2 linked regions of the Schizosaccharomyces pombe genome follow. The gene in region 2 interacts genetically with the main gene of each other region. Each region holds a gene or a part of one and is shown on either strand. Other genes may lie near its edges.

The links. A genetic interaction does not mean that the proteins touch.
Region 1: mutations in SPOM_SPCC1020.07 (region 2) and SPOM_SPCC61.05 together harm fitness more than expected from each alone (negative genetic interaction), as found in Schizosaccharomyces pombe (one large-scale study listed by BioGRID).

The regions. Positions count from the first base shown.
Region 1 is NC_003421.2:1,447,342-1,452,359, reverse strand, and holds SPOM_SPCC61.05 (uncharacterized protein), read right to left. Parts: upstream 3,187-5,018; 5' UTR 2,755-3,186; coding exon 1,345-2,754; 3' UTR 749-1,344; downstream 1-748. Other genes in the region: SPOM_SPCC61.04C (Rab GTPase-binding protein), read left to right, coding at 4,983-5,018.
Region 2 is NC_003421.2:769,775-774,190, forward strand, and holds SPOM_SPCC1020.07 (pseudouridine-5'-phosphatase), read right to left. Parts: upstream 2,190-4,416; 5' UTR 1,952-2,189; coding exon 1,919-1,951; exon of another isoform or gene 1,748-1,918; coding exon 1,705-1,747; exon of another isoform or gene 1,640-1,704; coding exon 1,577-1,639; intron 1,520-1,576; coding exon 948-1,519; 3' UTR 501-947; downstream 1-500. Other genes in the region: wybutosine biosynthesis protein Tyw1, read right to left, coding at 1-278; tal1 (transaldolase), read left to right, coding at 3,724-4,416.

The sequences.
Region 1 (5,018 bases), 680 kb from region 2:
GGATACTATCGTCAGTAGTACCCAATATCTACAAGACTCCACTACCCTTCATCGATGAGCTGTACAGAATCATACGAACCACAAGCAAAATACAGGGGTGACATAGAGCTAATCATAAGCAAAGATTTAAAGCTTTAACATCTTGAACGACATCTGTATCATCTAATAAACATATTCTCCTTGCAAGTTTCAGAACTAGTGATACTCAAAACAGTTAACATCCTATACAGTGTTCCGATTTCCTGTACGTGGTTTAAACGTTTAATCATTCCCCTAGACGCCCCTTTTTGAATTTACTTCCCACACAATATTGGATACCTACGTCCACAATCATCGTGCCATATCATCTCCGTACATTCACATGACTATAGTTTGCTCACAAACACATTAATTTCATCAAATTTAAAAATGCGTGTCTGAATGTAGTAAGAGAACACAAGGTTTACGTATTAGATCTTCTTTTTTTAGGGGTTTAAAGAATATTTCATATGTTTGAGCATTTACTGCTTATTTGGCTTAAGGAAGTCTTAGTTTAAACGGAATGAAACAGCTACGTTTTCAGACATACATACGAACTTCCATTCCAACTTCCGTTTTGGTAAAAGGTAGAGAGAAACAAATACATGCCAGAAACTATTCAACAGTTCAACCCGATTGCGTGATTGGTATACTGATATATAGGGTATTCCATAATAACACAGAGTGCATGCAATTATCTTTACTGTCGTTTAGTGTTCTATCGCTATTTAACAAACTTAACTTTTCTCATTACTAAATCGATAAATGGTATGTGCATTAGAAACATTGTCGCTTCTTGCTGATGCTCATGGTTAAAATTATGTAACATTTCAAGTGATACTATTTGAAATGGATGCAGGATATCAAGAGAAGCTTGTTTAATTATTTAGCAAAGTGTCAATATATTCAAAATCATCATCAAAAAAGGCATAAAGTAGAAAAAATGTAGCAAAAATCATCAAGGAGGTAGTTGTACGAATTCAATATAGCTGAATCGTATTTATATGTATAGAAAATGGGATTGTGTTAGCAAAAAATATAAAGGATGGAAGTATTTGTAAAGTTATAATAGCATGAAAGAGTATATAGTGTAAAAAATCTGGATAAAGATATAGTAATTGAAAAAAGCAATTTAAAAAGACAAGTATTAAAATCAAGAAATGGCGTCTCATGGGAATGTGCAATTAAGAAAATCAAGAAAATGTAAGAACTGTCACCACAAAAGTAAAATAAAAAATATTAAGTAACCATTTTTCAAGGATTAAATTTTCGCACACAGCTACCGTTTTCTCGACCTAATATAAAACTGATTATCAAAAAGCTTTTTTACACTTTACGATCGGGCGCTGGTTCAAGGTTAAGGGATTCCATCGATTCCAGTGCATACCATTCAAAGGGGATCGGCTGATATTTTAGGAAGACAAATTTTGAGCAATCAAAGAGAAAAGCAAAAACCAAGAAGTCAACAAACGTGATGCAGGAAGTTATCAGTTGGAAGCCAAGTGAAAGTTGACTGCCAAGTAAGGGACGAACAACTCCCAAAAATAGGCAATTACTTACGGTCACAGCAGCTAATGCAATATAGCAAGTCCTCAAAAGAGAGTACTTGGCCTCAAATCCAAGTTTCCTTGATTCACCAGCCTGCTTGTACAGTCGGTAAACTGCAAAGAATGGCAATCCATAGTAAACAAAAGTATAGATATTCCAAATTAGCTTGAGGAGGATTCCTCGAACCCCATAAAAGGACATCACGGGATAGGAGAGGGGTGCAAACGTGACAAACAAACCTTGAACGAAGGCTACAAAGGCTAGGTAAACATAGTACTTCACTAAAGCAGGCTTCGTGATTCCCAAGCCAAAACACAATACCAATAAAAATGATGTATATGCAGATTGTTCCAATCCTTCTTCAAAGACGAGTGAGAATAAAAAGGAAACTACGTACCATGTTGAAAAGGAACCCCTTCCGATGGCAACCATTGAGTACACCTGATATGAATGGGTAAACACAAAGATAAAAACCCAAAATGCAAGGGAAATTTGAGCAGGTTGAACCCCGGACTGACTTTTAATACAACGCAACAACCATGTTAGTGTAATGAATCCTAAAAACATCGATATCGCTAATAAGGTGGATTTTATGGTACGAAAATAAGACTCCGGAGGAGGTGCATCCCCATAAAATTCGACTGTCAAAACAGGCCAAGGAATACGAATTGGCTCAGTTTCTTGAATTCCGATAAAACAATACAATGCAGTTTCATCAATGGGTATATTAACTGATGGAGAGATTTCGGGGACTAGAGACTCACTGAGAAAATCCTCGAATAAGTTTATTGATTTAATCTCATCAAGAATCTCTGTATTTTTTCCATCGATAAATCCACGATAAGTTTCTAACGGTGTTTGGAGTTTAAGCAGTCTGTAAATAAAAGGATGTTCGGCATCCTCTTTCAGTTGCGCTTTGACAAAAGAACCTTTTTCTTCTTTGTTTTCTTTCGCAAATATGAGGTCGCAGTAAATGACAGATTGTTTCCAGCTTTCTCCATCTCTGTACTCCAACGGGGTCACAATTAATTTATCAAAGTGGTAGGCACCAGTAGAATCTTTATAGTAATCCTTATTGCCGGTGTCATCCTTCACATCCAAAGGCGCGTCCACGGCTTCTTCAGAAGAATCTCCGGACACAAACCATGGTAAAATAAGAGTGATGAGCAAAACAAAGTTTATTCGCATATTGTAACGATTTACCAGAAGTGCTCAATTAAGTATATTTTCTTTTTAAATTTTGAGAAACGAACGAATCTTTTGGCTTAAATGGGACTGCCTTTGACTTTAAAAAAGTAAAACCGTGGATATAATATTATGTAGAGATAAATATGAGTCGATCAATACCTGAATCCAAACAATAATCTAATCGAATTGATTAACTTTAACAAATCTCCTCCAGTAAACGTTGACAAGCCTATTGTAAGTACAAAAATGTGGGAATCTTTGCGCTTGCTTTGATACGACTGACCAAGAAAGCCGTCAAACTATGAATAAATATGAGCTTCTCGAGGAGCTGGATTGAAAAAAATCAAAATTTTAAATTATATGCTTCTTAGAACCTATATTGTCGAAAAAAATTGGCTACTAATGAAAATATACATATATGTACGTGGTGGTAGATGAAGAGTTGACAGAACTGCTACAAAAATATGATTTAAGAAAATATCTAAACTATGCACCAGACATAGACAAATTTAAGTTTTACATATATCTTATTAAGTGAAAGACAAAGATTACTGTAGAATTCAATTGCTTGACAAAAACTGAGAAATAATAGTTCCGTGTAAACTCCTGAAATCCCTACAGCTTACTACTGACAAAGGAAACAAAGACTTGCTTCGAAACGATTTATTTTTCGTTTAACTTTTACAACATATGGGACTTTTTTATTATAATTTTTGGAAGGAACAAATTTCTCTCATTGAGCCAGTCACGGCTAATTTTGTCACACCGCAGTTAATTTATGAGTGAAAGATCTTCATATCATTTCATTTTTCTTTTTTCTTTTCTTCTAGAGCAAAAAGTAAGTTCTTTATTATAGTGAAACTAGACACTAAGTTTTTGTATATATTGTTGGCCGTTAAAATTAAGCTTATTTTTAGCGAGATGGATGGAATATTATAAAGAAAATATAATTTACAATTAGGATATAAATAGTCGTGGGTAATAGCGATAATCGTCTTCTGTTGTTTTCTTGAAGTTTTTTTTTACTCTATTTGTAGCTTCTTGTGATCCTTAGATAAATAGAAGTATTTTTTTTTTTTGGATTTTTTATATCAGTAAATTTATGAAATGCAAATTTTTGCTGCCATTAATTGTAAATAATTACATAAATGTGTTTAAATAATGAAATAGGAGAACAATAAAAAAATAACTCTGATAATCAATTTGTGTTAGGTACACAAAAATACTCTTTTTCATGAAACCTTTGTGTGCCACAGTAACGTAAGTTAATAAAAAATTTCAAATTAAATAAAACCAATAACTTCAAAATTTCCTTTACTGTCAGAATAACTAAAAATAAGCTTAGTATTGTAATTCAAGTAATTCTTAATGTATACAATAAATGAATACCTGTTTAGTCGTATTGAATTATTTGCGATAGCTCAAGTGACTCATATACTAACCATCTGAGGTATATACTAAGGAGTAGAAAAATCAATTGTTAACAATTAAAAAATAAATCAAATAAATTGGAACCTCTTAATATCCCAAAGTTAGTTTTGAGCGGTTCATGTATTATTTAAACAGGTATAAAGTATGAGCTCAAATATTTTAACAGCAATAATATTGTCATTTACATAGTACAGTTCAGCTGAATCCACGAATTTTTAAAAAGCCGCTGGATTATGCCTTACGAATTTTGGTCGCTCGTAAAATATCTGTTATACTGTATTATAGCAATGTTTACATTTAATTTCCTCTGTATATGCACAATTTTCCTTGGAGCAAGGGTCAGAAATCTACATTTGTAATAATAGTTCATATAAATTTTATATGTTTCATCTTCATTGTTATGTCAATAGAACTGGCCATGAAAATATCAAAGAGCTTAAGAAAAGACTGTAACTTTGATATCATGCAAAGATGATATCCGAAAGTACATTTCAATTAATGAGCAAAATAACAGAACTGATAATAATTTTCAACATCAGTTTAACAGAACATCTTATAATATCATGAAGTTCATTGGGACTAACGATACCTTCAAATATCCCAATCCCTTACCGTCTTAAATTCTCGCTGCTGTTCACACTGGGGCTTTTTTCTTAAAAAAAAAAGAGAAGATTACTATTTTAAAGCTTGTTAATCAAAGTTGAAGGGGAAAAGGAGGAGCTTCCATTTTACCCACCTTTCCCTCCTACTCTCTCCTAACTTAGCAAGAGCAGGTTTCTCACCAAAAATTAAATTCGATGGCTTACTACAACAACCCAGCTAATCTACAATAC
Region 2 (4,416 bases):
ACACAAAGAGGAGAGTTTTTCCAATCAATAGTATCATTTTGTTTACGAATGGAAGAGGATGGCGAACCGATCTTTCCCCTTTTGCCAACCCGCTTAAACCTTTTAACTTCTCTCTGTTTCTTTACCTCATCTTTTTTCTCGCTTGATTTATCTGAATTGGACAATTGGGTTTTTCGTCGAATCAGAAAATGGATCAGTACAGGCAGCAGCAAGACTATGTACAATACAGCCCGGTATTCTTCCCAATGCTCCCCGATGTACCCCAAAGAATACCCCATGGCAATGATTTACCACTGGAATTTAGCAAAGAAATAGTATCCTTGGTGGTTGGAAAAAGGATTCTTTGAGGTGTGGCATATGGAAAAGACACAGGCAAATTTCACCAATAAGCGCCAACAGAACTAAGTCCAGCTAGAGAGTACTAAAATGAAGGATGAACTTTTAAATTAATTTAAAATTTTTACTTATTTGTTTATTTTATGATTAATTTTACCTTATTAATATATAAGTGCTTTCATCTAAATGATGGAGTGCTGGCCAAAAAGGTACTTTTTGTAAAAGTCAACATTCTTGAAAATCAAACTATAAGAAAAGCAATATCTCTTAAAATACCTCATGTGTAGTAACATTTAGAAAAATTGCTAGATAGCTAGTGTTAGACGTAGTGAAAATGATACTTGGAGATGAGACACTTTCAAACGATTGAAGAAAGAATCAAGGATGAGGGCTTTGTAATGATTGTTATTTGTGAAAAGTATTCAAAAAAGATTTGGAATGTTTGATGAGAGTTCATTTTTAAAGATTTTACGACATGGGAATATATCAGTAAAACGAAGAATAAAAAGTAAATAATGCAGCTAGCATGCTGCGTCTTAAATAAAGAGCAAAAAAAAAGATATAAAGCAAAAGCGATAAATGAAGAAAGTAAGAGAAAGAAACCAATTCAACTATACCTTTGTAACATCGAAATTCTCCAAGCTTAGCACCTTTGTTATATGCTTGTCCGCAGCTTGTTCTGGAGAAAGAGAAAAAAAGGGAAGAATATTGACATCAGGAACCCACACAACTTTCATGCCTGCCGCCCGGCCTGATTGAACTCCTGTAATGGAATCTTCAAAAACCAAGCAGTTCTCTGGCAGGATTTCTGCCTGGCCTTGAGCCTTGCGCTTGTCGTTGATCATCTTCAAAGCGATGAACCAAATATCTGGGTGAGGTTTGCCTCTACCGACGGGTAATCGAGGGTCATCTCCAGTGATAATGTTTCCATCAAAATGATCAAACAAATGACTCAAATGAGCGGACTTCTTTTCAAAGTTGTGTGTGTCACTGGAAGTGGCTAGTGCTATAGGAATGTTTAGTGATTTCAACTTACTTAACAAATTCATAACGCCAGGTAAAGGCTTTGTATGCCTCCATAGTTCAGCTTGAGTTTCACGTTGTAATGCTATGTATTCTTCGCAGGTCAAATCAATACCCGACCAATCCAAAAAGATTCTGCTGGCCTCCTTTGAAGTTCGGCCTAAAGCATGAATGATTAGAAGGTTGAAAAAAACAACAACAGCTCAAAGCCACTTACCCATCATCTTAGCCTTGACTTCCATGGAGAAGGGGCCTTTGTTATAGCGCTTTAAAATGATATCTAGACGCACCGTTAGCCTAACCAATACCTTTGAACAGAAAGGGAAAAGGAAGAGTAAAACTTACTAGTGCTTTTTGTGTAGATTGACTCTGTATCGACCAACAAGCCCTGTATTCGTTAGATAGAAGGACACTTTATCGCTTTTCAAGTAGTATGCTTTAAGGAATCATCAGGCTAAGCACTTTTAAGTAGAATGAAAAACAAATAAACGATAATAAATATTGTATTTGTTGATCATGGACGCCGTAAATGATCCATATTATTTTACTATGTACGTACGTCCATATCGAAAAGACACGCCTCAGGAATCATCTTTAAAGTAAAGTAAGGGTTTTAATAAAAAGAATGTCTTTGTTTTTCTACGATGAAGAAAGATATTGTTGAAAGGATATATACTATTCGTAACAGAATGAAACCAATTTCGATCAGTATACGGACGAAAGCAGCAATGGGAATGAGATGAATATACGATAACTTATCAAATAATTCAAGTTTAGACAATCACAGTCGTCCTTAATAAATTCTGCTAGAAGTAGTCAAACGTGGAGTTGACAAGTTGCAAGACGAGCCATTGTTTAGGCAAAGGTGAGAAATAGAATATTTGTGGCATTAGGAAAGCTTTTGGACTTGCAAATAGAATTGCTTGAAAATAATGAGTGTAAAGAGAGGTAAAGTTGGCGAATTTGTTGAGTCAGGGATTGAACTTGATTCATCTAAATGATAATGTTATGGTAAGATAAAAAGAAACTAGAAAAAAATAGAAGAAAGTTTATAAAGTGCAATGACATTGAATTTACTCGACTCTCTTCCTATTACACGACAAGCTCAGTTTATGGATGTTTATTTGTCTACAAACAATTCATTCACGTGTGACTTTGAACTTGACCGGAAACATGTTACAGAAGGTGGTTTGAAAGTAAAATTGATACGGGAATGGGTGTCTTATTGAAAAACTACAAAGCTGTACTCGATGACTATGGAATGTCATCAGGTGGATATACAGATAGCTCTTTTTAAATGTCGAGTGAGATATCGGTGGTTTATTTTGAAGAAAATTACTTAAAAAGTGATTAAAGTAATAATAAGTAATGAAAGTCAAATAAAAGGCCTTACGATTATCTGCTCGTCAACTATGGGTATACAGGTGTATCTCACACTATGCTTGAAGATTTCGCTGACGATTATATAGACAATGTCCATAAACAGGTTAAAACCAAGCCTTTTTAATTACGAACTTGACCATTTCTGAAGACTGTAGATACCTTAGAAGCTAATCTCATTTGTATTACTGTAAGAGGCAATTCGAATCGACAAGAGTGTAGGTAGAAGAGTATACCTATCCAAAGAGTATCAGATGCTTTTACCAATTTAAGAGTTTTCCATGGATATGTATTCAATTTTAGGTCCAACTATTTAACACTTGTGCGAACATCGATCATGTCCGATGCAGCAACTTGCTGCTGTCATGTCGCTCAAACCAAACAAAAGAAATGTGCCAATTAACAAAATATTTCCAATACTATACTTGTAACGTTCTAGCATTAATACATACCTTAAGGCACTACTTGCAATCAGCCCAGTCATGTCAATCTCTTCAATATCTTGTTCGGGATCCCGCTTGCGACCAGCGCATTATTTTTCTTAGATTACTGACATTATATATTTCAATTTGGAACAAAAAAACAATCTGATTTCGACCATTTTTTAAAATTTTTCTTTTTCATAAATTTTTTCGACTTTTCCTATACTTTCGATGGTGAAGAATGCATTGAGCACAGTCTGCAGCTTCCATTTTTTTCTTCTGAAATTTTATAGTAAAATCGAAAGTTTTTCATCTGCTTAAGCAATCAATTAAATCTAGACAAACATTGCTAAGTTCTCCGCAAATTCAAAGAAACTTTGGCTGACGTACCTAAAATGCTTAAGTGGAAGTTTCCACGCTACACACAACTTAACCAGAACCTATATCCTTAGGAACACCAAGAAACTCAGAAAAGGTATGTTTGTAGTGTTTTTTAGGAAAAACGAAGTTATTTGTCTGGAAAAAGTATTTACTAACGAGTTTTTGAGGTAGTTTTATCAAAATGTCTTCATTGGAACAATTAAAGGCCACTGGCACTGTTGTCGTCTCCGATACTGGAGATTTTGAATCGATCGCCAAATACAAACCCCAAGATGCCACCACAAACCCTTCTCTCATCTTGGCCGCTTCTAAGAAGCCCCAATATGCTGCTCTCGTCGACGCTGCTGTTGACTATGCCAAGGCAAAGGGTGGTTCCATCAACTCTCAAATTGAGATTGCTTTTGATCGTCTTTTGATCGAATTCGGTACCAAGATCCTCGCTATCGTCCCTGGCCGTGTCTCCACCGAAGTTGATGCTCGTTACTCTTTTGACACCCAAACTACTATCGAGAAGGCTCGTCACCTCATCAAGTTGTACGAAGCCGAGGGCATTGGTCGTGAGCGTGTTCTCATCAAGATTGCCTCCACCTATGAGGGTATCCAAGCTGCTAAGCAACTCGAGGAAGAGGGCATCCACTGCAACTTGACTCTCTTGTTCTCTTTTGTCCAAGCTGTTGCTTGCGCCGAGGCTAACGTTACCTTGATTTCTCCTTTCGTCGGTCGTATTCTCGATTTCTACAAGGCTAAGAATAACCGTGACTATACCGCTCAAGAAGACCCCGGTGTCGTCAGTGTCTCTAACATCTTCAACTACTACAAAAAATTCGGTTACAAGACCATTGTCATGGGTGCTTCTTTCCGTAACGTCGGTGAG